4 linked regions of the Caenorhabditis elegans genome follow. The protein of the gene in region 4 purifies or fractionates together with the protein of the main gene of each other region. This does not show direct contact. Each region holds a gene or a part of one and is shown on either strand. Other genes may lie near its edges.

Region 1 (7,559 bases), on a different chromosome or scaffold from region 4:
AGTAAGATAATCTTAAAAGTTTTCCTACATACAATGATTTCATAGACATTCGAAAAAGTATATAAATTTTGTAGCTAGCTAACTTTACGAAAAAATCACAATATTTCAGGTCGAGTCCCATCATCTTGCTGTAATGAGCATGGAAAGCTTTCCTACCCAAATAACTGTGGAAGATCATTCAGCCAAGCTCCGCTCAACACTTATGCTCAATTTATCAATACACGGGTGAGATTTTCAAAAATATATTGATAAAAACAATGTAAATATTCAGTGATTTATTAATTAGTTTTGTTAATCTAACTTTCAAATAAATACAATCAAGTTCAAAACTTTTACAGGGATGCGCCGATGCCGTGTACGAAAGCGTGAGCAGCTCATTGAGCTTGATAGTAGGAGTTTGTGTGGTTCTTTGCATTGTTCAACTCCTTGGAATTGTGTTATCTATGACCTTATGTTGTTGCAAAGGCAATTCTAAAAAATAAACGCCTTTTTTGTTTATAGATGTTTTTTAATGAATAATAAATGTTTTTCTCTCTGATTTATTGGAATTTGTAAAGATAAATAATCGAATGACAAACAACAATTCTTTCAGATTGGGTAGAGTTGATGAAGAGTGGTTGGATAAATATTTGTGAAACAATTAAAGTCGAATTTGCAATAATTGACTTCTCAGGAAAGGAGTGTAGTGAATGGAGTAGCTTGATCAAAAAATCAATTGAAGGAGTACGAATTATTCAGGTCGATAAGATTGAGATCGGGGAGAGGATTTTTTCGTTTGAAATTAAAATGTTTGTTGTCAAAATATATTAGTGAGTTTTTTGTTTTTTTTTGCATTTTTTACGGTTTTTCAGGGGTCTTATAGCACACACGCGCAGCTTTTTTTTTGAGTTATTAGTCGGGTGTTTTAAATTTTATGATAAACTCAGAAAAGCTTAGGATAATAGGTTTTCTGGCACCCTGCTTCCAAACATCACAATAGTTTTTTTTGTGGAAAATTCTGCGTTTTCCAATACTTTTTGACTAGATGGTTGGAAAATAACCAGAAACGAAAAATGATAAATTCTCAATTAGTGTAAAGCCATTCAAAAATAAAAAAGTTATGAAAAATTTTATAGTTTAAAAAAATCAAAAGAGTTTTCAGCGAATCTGTGTTATTCATTATTTTTGAATTCAAAATAAAAACATTTAACTAAATTTTTTTGCGATTAAGATTAAACTACATTCTGGTTTCTGAGTTTTGCAAAAATCCTCCTTCTATAAATAAAGAAACAATGGCTTTCCAATATATTATTGCAACACAGTGCAAAACTTTTGAAGAGCATAGAGACTATTGGTTTTGCAGTTGAAAATGAGCAAGACTAAATTTCAAATAATTCAAAAGAGCAAAACAACCAAAAAATGCTTCAAAAATACGAAATAATCGCATAATTTAAAAGTTAGAGAAGGTGAATTAAAGTCTGGAAAAATGTTGATAGAAACTGAGTCCCATAAAGCGCTGTATGAGAATTATTAGCGCCGTGATGCAATTTTGACGCCCTGGTGGCAGAATGTAACAAAAACACATCGGTCATTTGCCATGCATCTGTATGTATTTGAATTAAGTCGTTGGCAAAACTTGTTCGATTCCAAAATGTGTAGAGCTGTGTCCCCTTCAAACTTGATTTTGGATTTCCAGTCTTGACTGATGGAGGTTATAGTAGTCTCCATGTAGAGCAACTTCTGAATAGTTAGGTAATTTAATGAGAAACAGATTGAAGCATTTGATGAGATTTTTATTTGAAGACAAAAGGGTGCAACTTCTCAATTTTTTTTCAGTTTTACTGCTTCAAACAAGGTTGCCATAAGATCGCCGCGCCGGCCTCACGGCGTCACTCACGTCGCCTGTATCCAAATGTATAGTGCGACGCGGAACCCCGGCCGCTTCCAAATAACTCTTTTTTGCACTACGTTGCGCACACATCAAGCTTCTCGTTTCACGCCAAGCTGCGGCACCCCGAACGTGTCGGCCGCTCCTAACAAATACCTGTCGCGCTTTATTGCACACACACAGCGGCGCACGGCGTCGGCGTGAGGCCCCCATTTCGCGCCTCGCTCAGCTGGGAGCCCTACTCTAAACATTTTTGGAGTGTTTTTTTTAAAATTATAATGGGTCGTGTTGGTCAGTGCATTTTGACTTAATCCTCACTTATGATATTCACCCCTCATTATCATTACTTATATATAAAAAAATACATGAGGGATGTTACAATTGTAGTTTGTAGTCTGTGACGTCACACCTGCAAGGTGTTTCCGGCTGTTGAAGGGATTGTGGGTTGGGGTTAGTGGTGGGATATGGTCGGGATACTGTAGTAGTACTGTAGGGGTACTGTAGGGTTACTGTAGGGTTACTGTAGTTTTGGAAAAATTGACTTTTTGTCTTTTGAAGTGATATTGGTTTGAGGTTAGTGGTGGGATATGGTCGGGGTACTGTAGTAGTACTGTAGTAATACTGTAGGAGTACTGTAGGATTACTGTATTTTTGAAAAAAATTGGCTTTTCGTTTTTTGAAGTGATATTGCTTTGGGGTTAGTGTCGGGATATGGTTGGGGTACTGTAGTTGTACTGTAGAGGTACTGTAGGAGTACTGTAGGATTACTGTAGTTTGGGAAAAATTGACTTTTCGTCTATTGAACGGATATTGGAAACTTTGAGAAAATTCCGGAATGCTCCAGAACCTTCTGGAAAATTTGAGAAAATGCTGGAATGTTCCAGAACCTTCTGGAAAATTTGAGAAAATTCTGGAATGTTCCAGAACCTTCTGGAAAATTCGAGAAAATTCTGGAATGTTCCAGAACCTTCTGGAAAACTTGAGAAAATGCTGGAATGTTCCAGAACCTTCTGGAAAATTCGAGAAAATTCGTGGTGAGACCCTTCGTGGTGAGACCCTTCGTGGTGAGACCCATCTTGGCGAGACCCATAAGTTTTGGCGGGAAATTCAAATTTTCTGATAAAAAATTTTGGCGGGAAATTCAAATTTTCTGAGAAAAATTTTTGGCGGGAAATTCAAATTTACTGAGAAAAACTTTTTGGTGGGAAATTCAAATTTTCTGTGAAAAATTTTGGCGGGAATTCAAATTTTCTGTGAAAAATTTTGGCGGGAATTCAAAATTTCTGTGAAAATTTTTAGCGGGAATTCAAATTTTCTGTGAAAAATTTTGGCGGGAATTCAAAATTTCTGTGAAAAATTTTGGCGGGAATTCAAAATTTCTGTGAAAAATTTTGGCGGGAATTCAAATTTTCTGTGAAAAATTTTGGCGGGAATTCAAAATTTCTGTGAAAAATTTTGGCGGGAATTCAAAATTTCTATGAAAAATTTTGGCGGGAATTCAAATTTTCTGTGAAAAATTATAACGGGAATTCAAGTTTTCTGTGAAAAATTTTGGCGGGAATTCAAATTTTCTGTGAAAAATTTTGGCGGGAATTCAAATTTTCTGTGAAAAATTTTGGCGGGAATTCAAAATTTCTTTGAAAAATTTTGGCGGGAATTCAAAATTTCTGAAAAAAAATTCTGGAATGTTCCAGAACTTTCTAGAAAAATCGGGAAAATTCTCGAATGTTCCAGAATTTTCTAGAAAATTCGAGAAAAGTCTGGAATGTTCAATTCCCTGAAAAAATTCAAGAAACTTCTGCGAAGTGCTAGAATCTTTCAAGTTTTGATACTCCTAGAATATTCTGAAGTTTTAAGAATTAAAAAAAAAACCAGAATTTGTTATAGATAATTTCCAAAAACGCTCGCCAAAAACTTTCGGAAAGGACCTGAAAAAGTCTCATAAAAGTTCCAGGAAACTTGAGGTTTTAAAATTGTAATTGCTTAAAATTAAGTATATAATATTTATGTTGCTCGAAAACTTCCGGAAAACAAGGAAAAAAACGTTCCATCTGCAGTGAAATGCTTAGAAATTTCAGAATTTGATTTTAATTTTGAGTACGCCAGTCGGAGCACGCGCTTCAGCGCGTGCGAACGGCTGGTGTATTTAAAAAATAAATAAACATACCTTGACATAATCTGTAATTTCCTGTGGTGTTAAAGCAAAAACTGTGGCATCAACTTTTGCACAATTATAGAAATGAGTTATTGGGCACGTTATAAGAACTCCTTTCGTTTTTAGACTAGATTTGTTTCCCCAATGAACAGTGTTCATAATTCTTCTCATATCCATCTTCCGTTCATGTTTTTTCACAATGATAGACAGTTCAAATTCTTCGTTTGGATCTATGTATGGCAAAATCAACATAATTTCCTTTTCTTCAATTTCCACCATTTTCAATTGTCTCAGTTCCAAATTGAATGGATACATGGCCCAGAGCATTTTTTGGAGTTTCTCGAAGAAAGCGGATCTTGTTGTCTCTGGCAGATTCTGTTCAGCTACTTCAACACGTAGAGCATTAACTTCCAATTTTGGTGCATCACATATTTCTTGAAAGATGTCCAAAGCCGCGTCTACGTAATTTTTTGCAGATAATTTCTGGAAAGGTTCTCCTTGTTTTTGAATTTTGCATTTCTTGGCGTCTACATGATAAAAAGCCATAAATTCCTTTGTTTCATAACTTCCATCTCTGCTCACATTGATTTCTACGAAATTGCGACCCAAACACAAACTGATTTTCTCAATTTTTAGTGGAAGTACATAACTGAAATTTTATGTAGATAAAGTTGTTCTGAATCGTCATTCACTTACTTAAAATTTTCGGGCATTCTCCTGTGTATGTGATGTTCTTTCGGTTCTGGGAACAGTGAGCTACTGTCGAGACTGAAAATGAATTGGGTTACAAAATTTTGAAGGATGAAGACTAGGACATCTAAATTACCTTTTTTTTCAAAGTTGCACAAAAGTGTCAATTACAGTGTAATTCATCTCAACTAAAAATTCAGCGTTTTCATGATTAAACGTAATGAAAAAAACAAGCAAAAATAATTTGGAAACTGACCCAGAACGCAAAAAAATGAGTTCCTAGACAAATGTCATCACTAGCTTGGTCATTACCTTCAACGTCATTATCTGGGACGTCACAGAAAACAATTCTGGCGTAAACCTCAATGTTTCCGAAATTTTCGCTTTGTTTTGCTAATTTTTGCTTTCCGTTTGTGGTGAGACCCCTTGTAAACAAACCCTTTCGGAAAGAAACTTTTTTTGGGAAGAAACTAAGCTTGAGCCTGAGCTTAAGCCTAAGCCTAAGCCTCAGCCTAAGCTTAATCGGCCAACAGGAACCGCCTCAAAAATCAAAAAAAAAAACCGGAAAATCCTAAGCCTTCATAGCGTGCGCTCGCCACTGACGCCAAGCCAATGTTTGAGCCTAAGCCTAAGCCAAAGCTGAACTTTAGCCTAAGCCGAAGTTTAAGCCTAAGCCTAAGCCTAGGACAAAGCCTGAGCCTAAGCCTGAGCTTAAGCCTAAGCAAACGTTTAAGCCTAAGCCTACGCCTATGCTAAAGTCTAAGCCAAAGCATATGCCTTAGCCTTTATCATATGCCAAATGGCAGCACACGGTTTGGCGTTCTAAAACTACTTCTAAAGTTCATAAAAATCAAAAAATACCATACCAAGTGTTTCGAAACACCTCCTCGAATCCACGGGTTCCTTGTTTGTACCAATATTCGACTTCTTCAATTTGAAGATCTGGGAACGCATTCTTGAGTTTTTGAAAAGCATATTGAGCGGGCTGCTTATTTTGAAATTCATTAAGAATGGAGAACCGTCTACACAGTTTCTCAGTATTCTCTCTATCCATGTTGACTTCCTGAAAGTTGAAATTCATAAATTTACTCATAAACGTCAATGATAAGCTTTTGAGCAGAACAAAAAAAGAAACAAGAGCTCACAAAACTGCCTGGCAACAATGTGCGTGGGGAAGAAGAAGTGATAGCTGAGTGCGCAGCACTAGTTCAATCGTGTTTCGAATGTAGATACTGGTAAGAGAAGGGAGGGAAGTACGGCTTACAATGTTGGAAAAAAGATAATAATAGGTAGACATTTGTAATGAGCATGTGATATGAATCGGAAAAAAATAGTGTAAGATACTAACAGCCAACTTTCGGATGTGTGAAAAGTGTATTTATTGTCAGCAGACTTTCCCACAAGTAATTGGAATAAAGGCGTACATCATGTCGCATTAGTTTATTGGCTGACCTGTAGCCGCTAATCCGAAACATACAAACAAAAGAGGAAAGTAATAGTGGTGACTTTCCAGATTTATTGGCAATATTCAGAAACAAGGACCCGGAGAATGTTGGTTTGTGTCAGAAAATGATTATCAGTTTTCTCCTCAGACCTGTCTAGCTGCGTGGGCGTCACTCAGTTTATGGATGATTTTGACAATGTTATCAACGATTATGTGGAAGTGCGAATCTACGAATACACTGTTTATCATAGAAAACTTAATGGAAGAAGATTTTGTTTTGCTGGTTACCTTCTCTGTAGAATTAAGATGACTCTTCAAACCAATCTTGTATACCCTGTTTAGTAGAATCCAATCGCACCTCATGTTGTTCTCCTTCGCTTTTTTGAATCTGGTATTAGGATACTCATACTTTTCAGGCTTTTTGGGAAAATTACCAAAACTAATTTTTATACATCCAAGCATTGATATGAGATACTTGAATTGTCATCTTTGTTGGTTTCTTCTTGTACATTTCTGTTCAACTACCCCCAATGGCTGATTGCAACTTGGAGCCTACTTTTCACCTATAATTTTTACACACTCTTTTTTTTTCCTTTTTTCTTCCACTCCAAATATTTGCATACGAAGTACATCTTCACCCATCTGCTTGTTGGCGGTCAGACGCGTCGAATTTTGAAATCACAAAGCAGAGTCTCCACTGATGCCGATTGATTTTTCACTGTGAGAAAATATCACATCAGATAAGAGACCACGGTTTATAGACAAAGAAGACAGAGCCCGGTGCCCAGCTGCGCGACGCTCTGGAAACCGAGTCGTGATGAAGAGATTTACTCACACAATAGGTTGTGAGTATATTTGGAAGGCGTCGTCCTGTCTAAAAATCGCCTAGCAACTGCATTCGTGGGAAGTAGGGGATAGCCAACCTGTGTGTGTGTGTGTGTGTTTGCAGAGAGCCTTTTTGAGTCACAAGACAGAGAGGCACTCTGATAGAAGGGGAAGCAACGTATTCCAAAGACAAAAAATATAACAATAATTGAGAGACATTGGATAATGTGAAAACAGAAACGTGCGAGCGGGCGAGAAGATATCCTTCAGAAATTTTTACAAATGGAAGTTAGGGATGAAGTAGTAGTTTCAATAAGAAGGACAAAATATTCAAGTGTATCGGAACCATTCAGTTTGATTCATAGTTAGATTATGTGTACGGAGCGGTCATACTAATACGGTTGTGCTTTTTCAAATTTCCAAACACATATCGATAAAGGAAACAGCCATAGCTGTTTTTGGAATCTGAACAATTGTTATCTCAAAATTATGCTATCACTAATAAGTCGAGAAATATTAAATTAAAATTTTAGGAACAATAAGAACAACTAAAATTAGAAATTAGCCAAGGAGCATGG
Region 2 (3,146 bases), on a different chromosome or scaffold from region 4:
CTTGAGAAATTATAGAGTGGACTCTTTTCTTTGGCTCATACAGATTTTTGAGCGAAAAAATTATTTTCTAGTTTGCTTCTCTGCTTCTAAATATTTCCGATAAAACATTTTTTGTCTGAATTATTGAAATTTGTTGGGTACAGCTATCCGAAACTTTAATAAAATTCCTAAAAATTATATCAATGTACAAAAACTGGCAATTTCAAGTAACATTACAACCAAGTGTTGAATAAATCCTTGCTAATGGTAGTTAATTTATTCTAAACTTCAAACTAATTTTAAATGTTACCTGCCAGGTACCAAGACCAATACTTGGCATGAGAACTCCATTAGACAGAGTGAAGATTGGAACTTTTGATGACATTTCGAAGGAAAATAAAGTTTGTATAGTTGGGGGTACTTCATATTTATACACAAACCGCAATCCTAATTATCGAATTAAAACTGGAAGAAAGACCTTGAATTTGTGGTCTGTGTGTGTGTTTCTCTTAATATATAAAGAAAATAGTTTGCGCTGTTCCAATTTGTACTTCGTTTTATTGAAATTAACAACATGGACGAGGGGAATGATGAGGAAAAGATTATGTCAAATGGGTAGAAGTAGACGAATAATGACGACTTGGAAGAACACAAAATACATTTTTAAGTACCAGAAGTTTAGGTGACTTGTTCCATTTCCTTTCCATTTTTATTTCTAATTTCTCGGTCTTTTTCCATCTTCTCCAGTCGTGAATTGGTGTATTTGTAATATCCTTCCTTCCCTAAATACCACATCAAGCGATATTCATGCTTTTGATTCATTCTCTCTGCTTTCTTTTTTCTTTCCTCAAAAGTTCGTTCCAGTTTCTCAAGTCGTTTCTTCTTGTACATTCGGTATTTTTCAATAATATGGTCGTTGTGGTCGGCAAAGATGTGAATCTAAAAATTCGATTTTTTTTTCAATTGTAGAGAATTTGGTGTATGTTGTTTCCTAACAGGATTAAAAAGTTAATTTGATGTTTTTGTGAGTTCATTGTACATTTTAACAAAATAAACCTACATTTGATATATGCCAACCAAACTTTCAAAATTTTCAGACTGGAATTTAATTTCAAATTTAAGACAATAATGCCAAACGTGTTCAAGATTTTGACATCTTTATTTAAAACAATTCTAGAAACTCACCGCCCATTCTCCAGCTAAGCCGTCTCTTTTGAATTGAGCATTTTTTAGAAGATAGTCATCTAATGAGTTTTCCAATGCAAATGCCGATGAATAATGAAATCGGAAAGGTTTAATACATCCAATTGGGTGAAGAGAACGGAAGAAATGCTGAAGTTTTGAATAGTTACTATCATTCATTGCAGCATATCCAGGGAAATACTCATTGAATTCTTCAATCGCAGCGACATACTCAATTGACATCAATTTGTGCTCCGATTTTGGGAATGTATCTCTCCATAGTTTGATTACTTTTTCGAACATTTTGAAGATAAGCAGGTTAGTTAGGAAGTGTCCCTGGAAATATTATTATTGTTATTATTATGAAAGAGATGGATAAATGTAGTAAGTATGCAAAAAGTAAATGAAAAGCCAATCGTATGCAAAAGAATAAATGGACAAAAGCTGTAGAGAAGCAGACAAAATGAAAGAGAACGAGAAATAGGATGAGGAACACTACACACATACAAACAAGGAGGCAACGAGTGGACCACCTCAAGCATCTTGTGAGTTATAATTTGCACACACCCCCCGTACACTTCCCCGCTTGTTTTTGATTTGATTTTGTAAAGGATGCAGAAAAAGAATTGAACAAAACAACACGTCATGATGCTCTGCTAGAGTGCTTGGAGCAAATGATAAGAGAAATATTAGAAGCTTTTATTGAAATCAGGTGGTCAGTGGGTGAAGCGCATGGTTTTCCCACAACAATGTGACCTCGATTATGAATTACAAGACTTTATGAAAAATTCGTACTTTATGAAAAATCGTTTGGTAAAATCTTTACGACTTACTTCCGTACTGGATCATCCTAGTGGGTACCTTCATAATACGTACAGTAAGCCTTCCACAAGGACGCAACTTGCGAAAATATTTTAAAATTAAACTCAACAATACTATTTTTAGTTGAACTTAGTTAAAGCTAGAATATGCGAGATTTTAACAAAGTGTTTATCCTGAAATTTAGTGCTGGTCTTGCTCTATTATTTGTACCTTCTATTGGAAACTTGACACCGTGAACTCATGATTTTCTATATCAATTTTCACATTTTTCCACCTCTTCAAAACTTTCCCTCTTTCAAGCTTGAAGTCCCTCTTCGGTTTTCTACAATGCTAACGAGCTTCAGTATCACGCATTACCCATGCGCAAGAAAATGAGAACAGACAAGAAATTTCAATCAAGCCTATTATTATTTTTCTCACTTTTTTTTCCTGTCTACTCACTTTCTCTTGAAGGAAAAGCTTAAAGCAGTGGCACCCACTGCCATCACTACTACAAACCGGTCATTGTCAACAAATAACACAACAACGCATTTTTGTTTTGTTGACGCCATGATGCGCAAGCAGGCATCTAGAATTATTATGCAGTGGTGGGATGGTAATTGTGAAAAATCCGGATGTTTTTACATTTTATACAAAAATTCATATAAGGAGTTGAGGAAAAATGAATACTTGAAACATGAATACATATGAAACAATTAGAGAAGTTACATTTCTATGTACAAATAAGAATGTTAAAAACATTTAGTTACAGTTTGTTCAATTTAATAACTAAAGAAAAACAAACGGTTCTTTGGCATTATTGAACAATTTTGAAAATGAAAAAATTCGGAAGAATGTTAATGAGAAATTTGAAGCAAGAAACACGTTACAGAGTGCACAAGTACCCGTTGGCAGAAAAGCAAGATACTTGGCACCTATAGCATTTCATATTCTAGAGCATCAACGTCCTTGTCCTCGATTTTCTCCAACTCTTCAATGTCACTTCCATCGTCTGAATCCTGATCACATTTGTCGAATTCTTCATGACTATCGGAATCACTCGCATCGTCCACAATTTTCGATTGTGACGCAGCCTAAAAATAGTTTTGTTGAAACTTTACGAGTGAACAATTTGCTTCCCAACAATTAATTAGAAATAACGAGAGAACCATTTTATTTATTAT
Region 3 (5,588 bases), on a different chromosome or scaffold from region 4:
TCATAAATACCCACCAAGTGTTCCATCACCAACAGATAGTACTTCTACATTATCACTTTCTATTTTGTTTAATGGTGAGTATAGCTTGATATCTATCAATATTTTTGGTTCAAAAAAATTTTGTAACACAAATTTGGAGTTTATAAAAACCCCTTTGGTTCTAGTTTAAAAATGGTAGTGTGCGTAGAAACGTACATACTATGATCTGTAAATACTTTAAACTTTAATTATATTATATTTATAACAAAATTGATGAATATTCAGATGATACAGCACTTGCATTCAGTATTTGTGCAGCCACAACTTTAGCGTGTCAACTGGAGACAACGGGTTGTGTTGACGTGGTACAGGTTCTTTCATCGTATACCGAAATTCAGTGTGGTATTTTTGCCTCGAAGGTGAAAATCGAATTATCTCATTTTCCAATACCAAATTATTTTGTTTTCAGCAAGAAATCGAGATAATCTATGAAAAGATGTCACAGCTAGTCGGAGGAACACGTGTCTAAAAATTTATAAATTCAATTGGAATCGATCCGAAGTATAACTTCCCGAGAAGAAACAATAAAAAATCAATTTCCGGTGTCATTATAAATGAATATTTAATTTATTAATTATATTTTGAAATAATAACAAGCTAGATGGTCAGCGAAGCAAATAAAATGGATACAGCTTTAAAGAGAAAACAAAAGAAAAAATGATTACAATCCCTTCAAAGTCTTGTCGAGAAGATCGAAAGTCAGATCCAAATGTTTTTTGGTGTAGACGAGTGATGGACGGAAACGAAGTGAACGGTCTCCACATCCTCCACAGTGAAGTCCGTTGCTGATGGCCTAAAATTAAATTGAAGTTTAAGAAATTTAATATATAAATGTAAGATGGCTGAATTTGACATTTATCACTATTAATTCTGCTTACCAAGTCAACAAATTTGTCTCTCAAAGATCCAGATGGGAAGTCAACGGCGGCAAAAGTTCCTCTTCCTCTGGCTTGATCCAACTTTCCTCCAGACGATGCTTGAAGTTCTCCAAGTCTCTTTTGGAATTCAGCTCCAACTTCTCTGCTCTGCTCAATCAATCCATCTCTCTTAATAACCTCAACAGCCTTTTCCAAAAGAAGAAGCTTGGTCGGATCTCCCATCCATGTGTTGTAAATACGGTAAGCCTCCTTAACTCGGAGATGTTCTCCGTAGAAGTATCCTCCTGTCAAAAGTTTCTTTGAGAATGTGACCATATCTGGTGGAGAGCTCAAGTTCCAGTGATCATGAGCCCAGATATCTCCAGTTGCTCCACCTCCAGTTTGAACTTCATCAACAATGAATACAATTCCATGTTTAGAAGTAATATCACGGAGGCCTTGGAAGAATGCTGGACTTCCATAATGATCTCCACCTTCTGCTTGAATTGGTTCAACAATAATTGCAGCTACATCATTATCACGACGTTTCCATTCGGAAATCTTCGCTTCAACGTCAGCAAGACACTCCTGATCTTGCTTCTTATTGTATGCAACATTCTGGTCAAGTGGATACTTATAACGGGGGAACTTGGCAATTGGCCAGTCAAATGCTGGAATATCAACCTGAAAATAATTAATTAGAATTGTTTCGAAATAAAACTTTGAAATACCTTATGAATTGGCTTACTTCTGGTAACCGACAACATGCACAAAGATCTTCCATGGAAAGCTCCTTCAAATCCCATAACTGAAAGATTTGGAGTTCCTGGTTTCTGTTGATTCATGCAGCTTTCCAAATGAAGAGCATCTGGTCCAAGACCTCCTCTTCTCTGAGCTTGATACCAGATAAATGCAGTTTTGATTGCATTCTCGTTGGCCGATGTACCGCAAAGCATTGTTTGAACTGCCTTCAATCCTTTTGGAGCAATTGATGTAAGAGCATGAGAAATTCCATCAGCAAAGTCGGTACGTGGGAAGGATCCAAGAGCTGGACGAGAAACAAGAGATGTCTGAAAATTTATTTTCTAATACATTTCTCAACTTTTCAGTAAGTATCTTGTTTTCTTTAGTTTTATCCAAATATTACAGACAGGCAAATCACTTAATATTTAATTTTTTACTGGTTTCTAGGTGTACGGTTAATGTGAAAATATGGTCATTATGTGCCTTCCTCCTGCCTGCCTGACTGCCTACCGCCTAATTTCTGTATTTGTGCCTGAATGCGGATGCGGCGTAAAACATTTTCATGCGTACATGGAAGGCTAAGTTCGAATGCTCCAATTGATTGTAAGAGGTTCAAAAATTGATTTTGAAATCAATTTATAAAAACTCACAATCAAATGTGGCTGCGAAGCGACCTTAACCAAATCTGGATGATTGTATCCCAAAGGAAGAGATGATATTTGAGTATAGACATCGAGAAGTGCATTTCCTAAATTAAATCCTGGTGTGTAAACTGAAAATAAAAACTAACCATCAGCATCTACAACGTAATTTCCGAATGATTTCTCGTAGTCGACATGGAAACGAACGGATGTAGTTTGCTGAAAAAAAATTTTTTTAATTTTTATAAAATTTTGAAATCTCATATTGCATTTGGAATGATTCATATGTTTCATAACTACAGTATTTTTGACAATATGTATAAAATTTAAATTTCCTTGAAATATTATTTTATTTTTTGTATTATCAATGAAATTGAAGATTTGAAATTAAAAAAACTAAAATCAAATAATCAAAACTCCTGAATGTCAGTTGTCAGTTGACCAGAGAAAGTGTAATATTTCTGAGACGAATTTCATTCGTTCTGTGATAAGGGTAAGAATGTGATGTTCATGTAATTACGGAGTTGAGATGTTGGTTTTTGATTTGAAAATTGAACTGAATGGCTCGAAATTCTTCGCAATTGTGTGACCATTAAATAGCTAATAATGTTTTGTAATCTAAAATTATAATTTATCTATCTTATAATTCTTAATAATTTAGAATCAAATTGACAATGTTGAGCTTCTGTTGAGCAAGTTGTCAGAAAGTTCAGCCAAAGTTTTTGTTTGAAAAGTAATTTCAAGCGATTTCGCCACTGAATAATTGTCAAAAACTAAAACCAATACATAATGAGCGTATAAGATTTAGAATAGATATAAAAAATAAGTTATCACAATTTGAAGGTATTTTAAGGTCCATGATGTTTAAAAAAACCATTTAACTTTCGATATCTCAATTCTTACATGAACTTTATCCATTTCCTGTTTCAACGCCTTTGACTTTGGTCCAGGAATGCTCGTTGAAATACTAGGTCCAGATGGCTCGGCATTTGCAATCGCCGAAACTCCACGCACTAAAATAAACGTTTCAATTGAGTCAGAGCATTTTTTGGAAACATTCTCATGGTGTTGAAGTGTTTTAGTATTTTTTTAAAATTTCAGAAAATTTTGTTTTTTTAATCTTCCAAATTGAAACATGTGGTGAATATCAAAATACCTGCCAATTTACCAAAACTTCGATTTTATCGTTCAGTTTTTCTGATCTTTTCCCTATTCGGTTTTACTCGAGAAAAATCAATTGCCTTCGTTAATGTTTGTGATACTGATAAACTGATAAGAGAATCAAAAAAGTGTTGTTTGTTTCTTTTTCAATGTGTTTTAGGTCAAAGATGCAAGTAAAAAGGGTTGAAAATGAATGTATCTAGAAGAACTAAAAAGCTGCAGGTTAGGTTTTTCAAAATCAAAAATTATATGTTAAATTATTTCCTAAATAAATCCCAGTTGAATCCAAAATATATTAATTGGTTTACCCTGTTGGATTAAAGATGACTTTGCCAGTCTGGGAAGCATTCTTCCTTCTGAAAAAAACTATTCAAATTATTCGAAAATCGATTTGAAAAAAACAAAGAGAAAGAAGAGTAAAATTTGAAGTGGCAGGAGAAAACCGAATAATTTTTTCTCCCGTTTTCTCTTTTTAGGCGTCAAACGAGACGCAGAGAAAGGCAGGGGGAGGAGCTTATGTTTTTTAGTGAAGGAAATAAATGCGTTTTCTAGTGAAAATTGTTTGAAGAAGTAAACTGAAAAATTGGAAGCCAATGGAAGACGTTTATATTGAGCCTGTGAATGGTGTAAACTTGCTCCACGTTGTGCAAAGAAAAAGGCTCGCAGAGCACGAAGGGTGTAATCGGAAGGACAACTGACACAAAGAGATGGGGTCACGTGATCGATTTATTGTTTCTTCAGATTCTGGAGATATCGACAAGTGAAAGAAAAGAGAAAAAGAGAATACAATCTAACCGGTAATCTAAACGTACTTATTAAATCAATGCAATACATAAGAATAGGGAAGTAAAAAATCAGGAATCAGAAATATTAGTTTTTGAATCTGTTCTAGAAGCTCCGGGGAATAAAAAAAAAGATTTTCGATTTTAAGTCAAAGCACCGTTACATTTCTTTAGCTTTATACTACAAAAAGGTATAATAAATTGAGACCTACAAGAACGAATGGACTACTTTTAGAGAAAAAGAAATAGAAGTTTACATGAAATAAAACATTCGTTTCTTGAACTTTTAAGACTAATCAAGTGTTTCTTCAACAAGTAAATGTGCGGCTCTCATATATTTATGCACTGCTGACTCAAAATCGGACTGTTCCAATGGAAGAAGTTGATTTACGGAACCTCCAGAAGCTACAGTAGCTTTTGCTCGAGCGAGAAGAGCAAGACGACAAACCTGAAAAATTACATAACAACACGATTATTGGCGTTTCATTTTCCTGTAACATAAAAACTTAAAATTTTCGAACGCGTATTATTTTTTAAGCTAATTATTGTGTATCTAACTTCTAAATATTTTTAGATGATTTTGGAAGAAGTTGAAATAATTTAAATGAGTTTTTTTAAAATTAAATTCAAAATTGTAAGTTTTTTCAAGCTCACTATTAGAACAACTTGTATTAAATATATACAATTCTCTTCACTAATGTTTTTATTTGTATTTTTTTTTCCTTTAAGGTTACTGTAGACAATTATATTACATTTTATCATATTACAAATTACATTTTTCCTTTAAAATCCAATGCATTTTTCACATTAGAAACATGAATTAATTGTGAAACAGCAATTTATTCTCATGAAGCTCGCAAAACTTTGCGATTTCTGCCCCAAATATTCTCGACACGAAATTTTATGTTAACTATGAAAAGGTGTGTACCTTTAAAGAGTACTGTAATTTCAAACTCTCGTTGTTGCAAAAGTTTAATCGAGTTTTCGTAGTTTTCAATAAAAACACATATACTTATTTGCTGTTTCACTATTAATTCATGTTAAAAATGTATTGGATTTTATAGGAAATCCAAGATATATTATTGTCTACAATTTTTCATGTTGAACAGATTTATATTAAATATTTCGTTACCGAATTCCACTAGAATATATGTGACATATATAGCCACAAAGCGAACTAATAATATTACGACCATTTCGGGGATGTAATATATTTGATTAAAATTTTAAAAAGAAAAAAAGCACGAACCTCTTTCAAATCACTTCCACTAAGACCTTCTGCTGCCTGTGCGATTTCTCCGAGATTTACAGTATTATTGATCTTTTCATTCCTGAGAATCACATTAAGAATCTGACTTCTTTGC
Region 4 (5,810 bases):
GAAAAACATTTACATTGAGTAGGATATTTGAACAACGTTATTGAGAAAAATATAGATATTATGGGAACAAAAAATTCTGAAAATGCGTACTGCACAACATATTTGACGTGCAAAATATCTCGTAGCGAAAACTACAGTAATTCTTTGAATGATTACTGTAGCGCTTGTGTCGATTCACGAGCTCTATATTTATCGACTGAATAACAAATTTGAGAAAAAAAATTTGAGAAAATCTAGGGAAAATAAATTATTTAATATCGAAAATCGAGCCCGTAAATCGACACAAGCCCTACAGTAGTCATTCAAAGACTTACTGTAGTTTTCGCTACGAGATATTTTACGCAATACACATTCTCAGATTTTTGTGCTCCCGAAATATCGTAATTTTGCTAAAAATTGGCAATTTCAAAAGCACATGGGATTTTTTGAGTGGGTCTCGTCACGATCTCAGTCATAGAGATCGCTACAAATGCCAAAGTTCACAGATTTGTTAATTTTCATCTAGACTTTTTTTCAAGTTTAATAGTATTGGAGAAATAAATATTTGGATTCAGAATTGTTCATTTCTCTAAAAATAGTTTAAAATACAATACAAAATTCTTTCAAAAAAAAGCAAAATTATTTCTTGACGACCGCTTCGAGTTGTTTCTGAAGTGCATTTCGATGAGTTTCCCCGTTCCAGACGGCTTCCAGCACTTGTTTTTGCTCCGTTTTTCCTATTTTTACAGCGTTCAGCATAGCTTTCTGGGCTCTTGTCACTTTCAAACCAGCGCTAGCCACTTGGTTGATGAAGTTCTGAAAACATATTTCAATGTATTATAGCAATGGCGCTCCACGGCGAGGTAAAAATGCTCCGCCCCCAAACGTTGGGTCTCGTTAGGTATTGACTTTTTTCTTGCATACTTTTTCCGTTTTAAACATGTTTTTCATAATAATGGAAGAAACGGAAATTAATTTTAAGAAAAGACGAGAATAATTGAAAATGTTCGAATACCTAACGAGACCCAACGTTTAGAGGCGGAGCCTTTTCATTTGCCAGTGGAGCGCGAATGCACCTCGATTTTATGGGATTTCTAGGCGACAAATGACGTCACAGTTCCGTACCTCAGCTTCATCTTCACTTTTGTACACATAATCCACATATCCTTGATCCTTTGCTTCCTCAGCTGACATAACATTTGCCCGTCCCATTGCAGCTAATGCTCGTCCTCTACCCATAATTCCCTCCATATATTCGGCACCTCCCCACGACGGAACAATTCCCATTTTCGATTGAAAAAATGCGATTTTCGAGCCAGAATGAGCAATTCGAATGTCGGTCGACGAGCAAATTTCGGTGGCTCCGCCGAGTGCGTGGCCATGGATTTTCGCAATTGAAATAGCTGGTGATGAGTGGAGAAGTGAAAGAATTGATGACATGTACTCGAACATTTGGACGCCAAGCTTTTGGTCCGAAATCTGAAATTTAAACATTTGAAAGTTGGAATTTAAAAATTGGAATTTCATTACATCTTTGATAAGACCCAAATCAGCACCCGAGCAGAACGATTTTCCAACTCCCGAAACAACGATAATTGCGTTTTGATCATCGGAAAATAGCTGAAAAGTGATATTTCAGGCATTTTTACTACGGTCTCGCAACGAAAAAAATAATTTCAAATACGACTGCGCAAAAACATGTGTGTTTTAAAGTACAGTAACCCACTATATTGTGAAAATTTATAAAATTTAGCGAAAATTTATTTGCCTACTGTAAATAGCGCTTGTGTCGATTTACGGGGCTGATTTTCGAAATGAATTTTTTTCCGAGTAGCGACAGCGATATTCCATTTTCCTTCGTTCCAATATATTCTTTCAATAAATAAATTATTTCGATTCGTTTCGAAAATCAAGCCCGTAAATCTACACATGCGCTAAATACAGTAGGCGTCAAATATGTCGCGCAATACGCATTCTCGAAAGTTTTTGTTCCAGTAATAGTTGTACCTTCGAATATTCCAATATAATTGTGTAATTTAAATTTAATAATTTTTGATCTTCCCGTGAGAGCGTGTAAAATTAAAAAAAAAGGAATTTTTAAATAAATGAAATTGAGAGAGGCCGTGTAAAGCCGTGTAAATACGTGATGTTAAAACGGAATCAGATTTTTCAAAAAAATGAAGCAAGAGGATTGCAGAAGCAAGAGGATTGCAGAGCAAGTAGGACACGATGCGGTGCCAGTGAAAAAAGTTCCTTGGGAAGAGCAACAGTTGATGAAGAAAGTGAAGCGTCTGCAATCGGAGAACGAAAAGTTGAAGGTGCAGCTGGATGATATGGTGGATTGTTTTGTGGAAACGAAGGAGGCTCTTGAGAAGGAAAAACGTGTGACGGACTTCCTGAAAAAGGCGATTTCCGATCTCAAAACTCTTCCGATTGAATGTGAGATTTGTGCAGTACAATATGGGGATTCTGGAATGACCGTGCCTCGTGTTCTGCGTAAGTCTGCCAATGCAACTCATAAAATAATGATATTATTCTTATCATATTCAGCGTGTGGCCACACAATTTGCACCGAATGCGCTGGAAATATTATCCAAAACAAGATGATCCGTTGTCCATTCGATAGAAAAGTGTACAAGTTCAATAACAAGACGATCGAGAATCTGCCCAAGAATTTTTCTCTCATAAATCAGTAGAAATTCGAATAAATGATTTGAAAAATACTGTGTAGATTGATTCTGATTCTGAGATTCTTAAGGTCTTCGCGCAAAACTACAGTAACCGGTATCACAATAATTTCAAGTTCAGCCTGCGTAAAAACATGCGTGACAATTAAATTAGTACAGTAATCACGGGGTTCTGGCCTTTATCATTGAATTTTCGCGCTCCATTGACAATCGCCTGCCGGACAACGTGTGGAAAAGTGCCGTGTACTCCACACGGGCAAATACATCAATTTTACAACTAAAAACGAGCCGCGACGCGACACGCAACGCGCCGTAAATCTACATAAAATCTCTTCGACCCAAAATGGCCTAGTTCGGCAAACTCTGCCATTTCGATTTATGAGGGAAGCCAGAATTCCGTGATAATAATTTACCATATTGTTTCAAATTTTTTCTATTACGGGAACACAAAATTCTGAGAATGCGCATTGCGCAACATATCTCTTAGCGAAAACTACAGTAATTCTTTAAATGACTACTGCTGCCATTGTGTCGATTTACGGACTTGATTTTCGAAATGAATTTCTTTAAGACATCGATATTCCATTCTCATCTGTTTCCTCGTAATATTTGCTAGTTTTTTCTCAAATTTATTATTCAATCGATAAATAAATAATTTAAATTCATTTTGTAAAAAGAGCTCGTAAATCGACACAAGCCCTACAGTAGTCATGTCATTTACACGTGGTGTGAGAGTGTCCCATTTCGGTTTGATCTACGTAGATCTCGAAAATTTCGAGAATTTAGATGCAGACTTCTCAACTAGTGGTTAAGAACGTGCTGACGTCACATTTTTTGGGGTAAAAAATTCCCACTTTTCTTGTAGATCAAACAGTTATGAGACAGCCTGACACCACGTGCATTTGAAGAATTACTGTAGTTTTCGTTATGAGATATTTTGCGCGTCAAATATGTTGTACAATACGCATTCTCGGAATTTTGTGTTCCAGTAATATACTCAAGCATTTAGTATTAAAAAGTGCTGGAGAAATCGGTTGCTGCACTTCTTAAAGGCGCACACTGTTTTGCTCGGTCTCTACCTCTAATGCATCAAATTTCACGCGCAAATTCAAAAACTTGCCTCAGTGTGCTCTCCAAACTGCTTCATCATTTCTCCAGACAAACAATTATTCTTTTCCGGGCGGTCCAGAATTACGTCAAGTCTTGTTTTCAGCTTCTCGTTTCGCTGAACTCGAATCGCACCGCCTTGCCATGATTTAAAGACTTCCAGCAGTGCTGCGGATGGTCTAACCTGAAAAAATTCAATTCTAAAGGCACATAGTCGTGAATCACGCAATATTCAAATTTCGAAGAACATACCACTTTTCCAGACATTTTTGTCGCTCAGTTGCCCTGAAAAATTAGAAAAATCTTTTTATTTTTAGGTTATAAGCGGTTAGTGAGAAGAATAAGAATATATTTTCCCTATTTTTGAGTCACAAGTCGAAGCCCCGCCACCAAACGCAGGGTCTCATTAGGTATTGGCGGAAAAACAAGAAATTCAATAGTTTTCTTGACAGTTTTAGAATCCAAAAAACCGGTGCAAAATTTCATTTTCCTACAATTTTTGTACAAAAAACCGTACAACAAAGACCCCGCCCCTAAAATAGGCGGGGCTATGAACCATTTTGTGGGCGTGTCTGGCGGTAGATTTTACAACAAAAAAGTATGACGTGAATCGAGGAATCTACGAATATTTATTGCATCAATTGAAAAATCAATCTATCATCGCTTCTTGGCAATAGAGATAAAGTTGCAAAATTTCAAAATCTAAAAAAAGGAAGGATGGAAAATAATTTAATTTATTGCTATGAAACACGAGCGCTTAAAATGGGAGAGCCGGGGGGGGGAGGGGGAGTCAATAAATAAATATATAAAATTCAAATAATTAAATAGGACACAGAAGCGTGCGTTTTGCAAAATAAATTTTTGGGTGGAAAGAATGAAACAAAAAATGCCGCTAGAGACTGGAAGACGCAGAGATAGAGATAGGGGGAAAACATCACTGATCTGACGAAAATTTGGCCGAATCTGAAGAATTTTGGGGGGTACATTGTATCTAGAGAGCATGAAAAATTATGACAATTCGACCGAAGAAAAAGGCAATTTACTGGAATATATATTCTAATCAAGGGTGACGTCGAAAAATTCTGATTTTTCGGTATTTTGGGGTAATTGAAAAATCGAGAAAAAAAATCGATTTTTCCGAATTTTTCAATGCAAAAAAACGACACATTTGATTGCAATATACTTTGACTATTCAAAAATTTTGAAAAAAAAAGGTTAAAAAGGAATACTAAGTGATTTCAAATTGGAGTGGCACCTGGATTTCGCTATTTGATTAGTTTTGCACAATCTACTGGAAATTCTAAAATTGGAGAATCTTGGGGGATATCAAGAAATAGAAATAGGCTATCATTTTGTTTTTACATTAAAAAAAAATAAATCAGGGAATGTTACGAGAGAGATAGAGAGAAATAGACGACTAGACTATAATCCAAATGGATCGGCTGAGGCGGCCTGGGCCTGTTGAGCTTGTGCAGCGTTCTTTGCAGCCATCGCTGCATGAACCAATTGAATTTGGTGTTGCTGTTGTGGTGGAACAGGTTGTCCGTATCCATATTGTTGACCGTATGCTGCTGCAAAAAAAATAAGATTTTGAAAATCTACCGAAATATAGTGCCAGACACGCCCACAAAATGGTTGAATTCCTATTCTAGGCGTGGGGCTTTTTTGTTTTTGTTTGGTATTATTTAGACCAAAAAATAAACCAAAAACTGCTCACTTTCTCGCGGTTTTTTAATAAATTTAAGTATAAATTTTTTTTGTTGGTTTTTTGGCCCGAAATCCAACCCAAAAATGTTTTGCTATTTTTTGTCCAAAATTATTTTTCCGCTTATCCAAAAATTGCTGGAATATGAAATGTTCCACCGATTTTTCGATTTTAAATAAAACTGAATTTTTTCCAGAGGTTTAAATTTTATATTTTAGTATAAAATAGGTGTATGAGCATATTTCGAAAATGAAGCAAAAATTAACAAAAAATGCTTCAAAATCGATTTTCACATTTAAAATAATCTTGAAATATTGTGAAAAATTAGATAA

Evidence for each region.
Region 1: the proteins of C32E8.9 (region 4) and F33C8.2 fractionate together in Caenorhabditis elegans (co-fractionation; one large-scale study listed by BioGRID). This does not show direct contact.
Region 2: the proteins of C32E8.9 (region 4) and ZC443.2 fractionate together in Caenorhabditis elegans (co-fractionation; one large-scale study listed by BioGRID). This does not show direct contact.
Region 3: the proteins of C32E8.9 (region 4) and gta-1 fractionate together in Caenorhabditis elegans (co-fractionation; one large-scale study listed by BioGRID). This does not show direct contact.

The regions. Positions count from the first base shown.
Region 1 is NC_003284.9:14,719,605-14,727,163, reverse strand, and holds F33C8.2 (DUF38 domain-containing protein), read right to left. Parts: upstream 5,767-7,559; coding exon 5,579-5,766; intron 4,791-5,578; coding exon 4,719-4,790; intron 4,672-4,718; coding exon 4,035-4,671; intron 1,720-4,034; coding exon 1,510-1,719; 3' UTR 524-1,509; downstream 1-523. Other genes in the region: tsp-8 (Tetraspanin), read left to right, coding at 110-225, 339-482.
Region 2 is NC_003283.11:12,809,695-12,812,840, forward strand, and holds ZC443.2 (uncharacterized protein), read right to left. Parts: upstream 1,499-3,146; 5' UTR 1,465-1,498; coding exon 1,165-1,464; intron 1,046-1,164; exon of another isoform or gene 919-1,045; coding exon 658-918; 3' UTR 518-657; downstream 1-517. Other genes in the region: ZC443.1 (NADP-dependent oxidoreductase domain-containing protein), read right to left, coding at 290-364; ZC443.3 (Glutamic acid-rich protein-like), read right to left, coding at 2,898-3,056.
Region 3 is NC_003282.8:10,178,870-10,184,457, reverse strand, and holds gta-1 (putative 4-aminobutyrate aminotransferase, mitochondrial), read right to left. Parts: upstream 3,799-5,588; 5' UTR 3,791-3,798; coding exon 3,751-3,790; intron 3,295-3,750; coding exon 3,185-3,294; intron 2,501-3,184; coding exon 2,431-2,500; intron 2,389-2,430; coding exon 2,291-2,388; intron 1,967-2,290; coding exon 1,628-1,966; intron 1,581-1,627; coding exon 918-1,580; intron 833-917; coding exon 701-832; 3' UTR 519-700; downstream 1-518. Other genes in the region: ptrg-1 (Tyrosine-protein phosphatase 4), read left to right, coding at 1-74, 265-398, 449-508; mspn-1 (Mitochondrial sorting homolog), read right to left, coding at 4,517-4,672, 5,474-5,588.
Region 4 is NC_003279.8:3,794,010-3,799,819, forward strand, and holds C32E8.9 (Ethylmalonyl-CoA decarboxylase), read right to left. Parts: upstream 4,060-5,810; 5' UTR 4,041-4,059; coding exon 4,026-4,040; intron 3,958-4,025; coding exon 3,787-3,957; intron 2,706-3,786; exon of another isoform or gene 2,676-2,705; coding exon of another isoform or gene 2,530-2,675; intron 2,476-2,529; coding exon of another isoform or gene 2,157-2,475; exon of another isoform or gene 2,150-2,156; intron 1,600-2,149; coding exon 1,510-1,599; intron 1,459-1,509; coding exon 1,105-1,458; intron 796-1,104; coding exon 619-795; 3' UTR 547-618; downstream 1-546. Other genes in the region: C32E8.1 (RING-type domain-containing protein), read left to right, coding at 2,157-2,475, 2,530-2,675; Phosphatidylinositol-binding clathrin assembly protein unc-11, read right to left, coding at 5,196-5,344.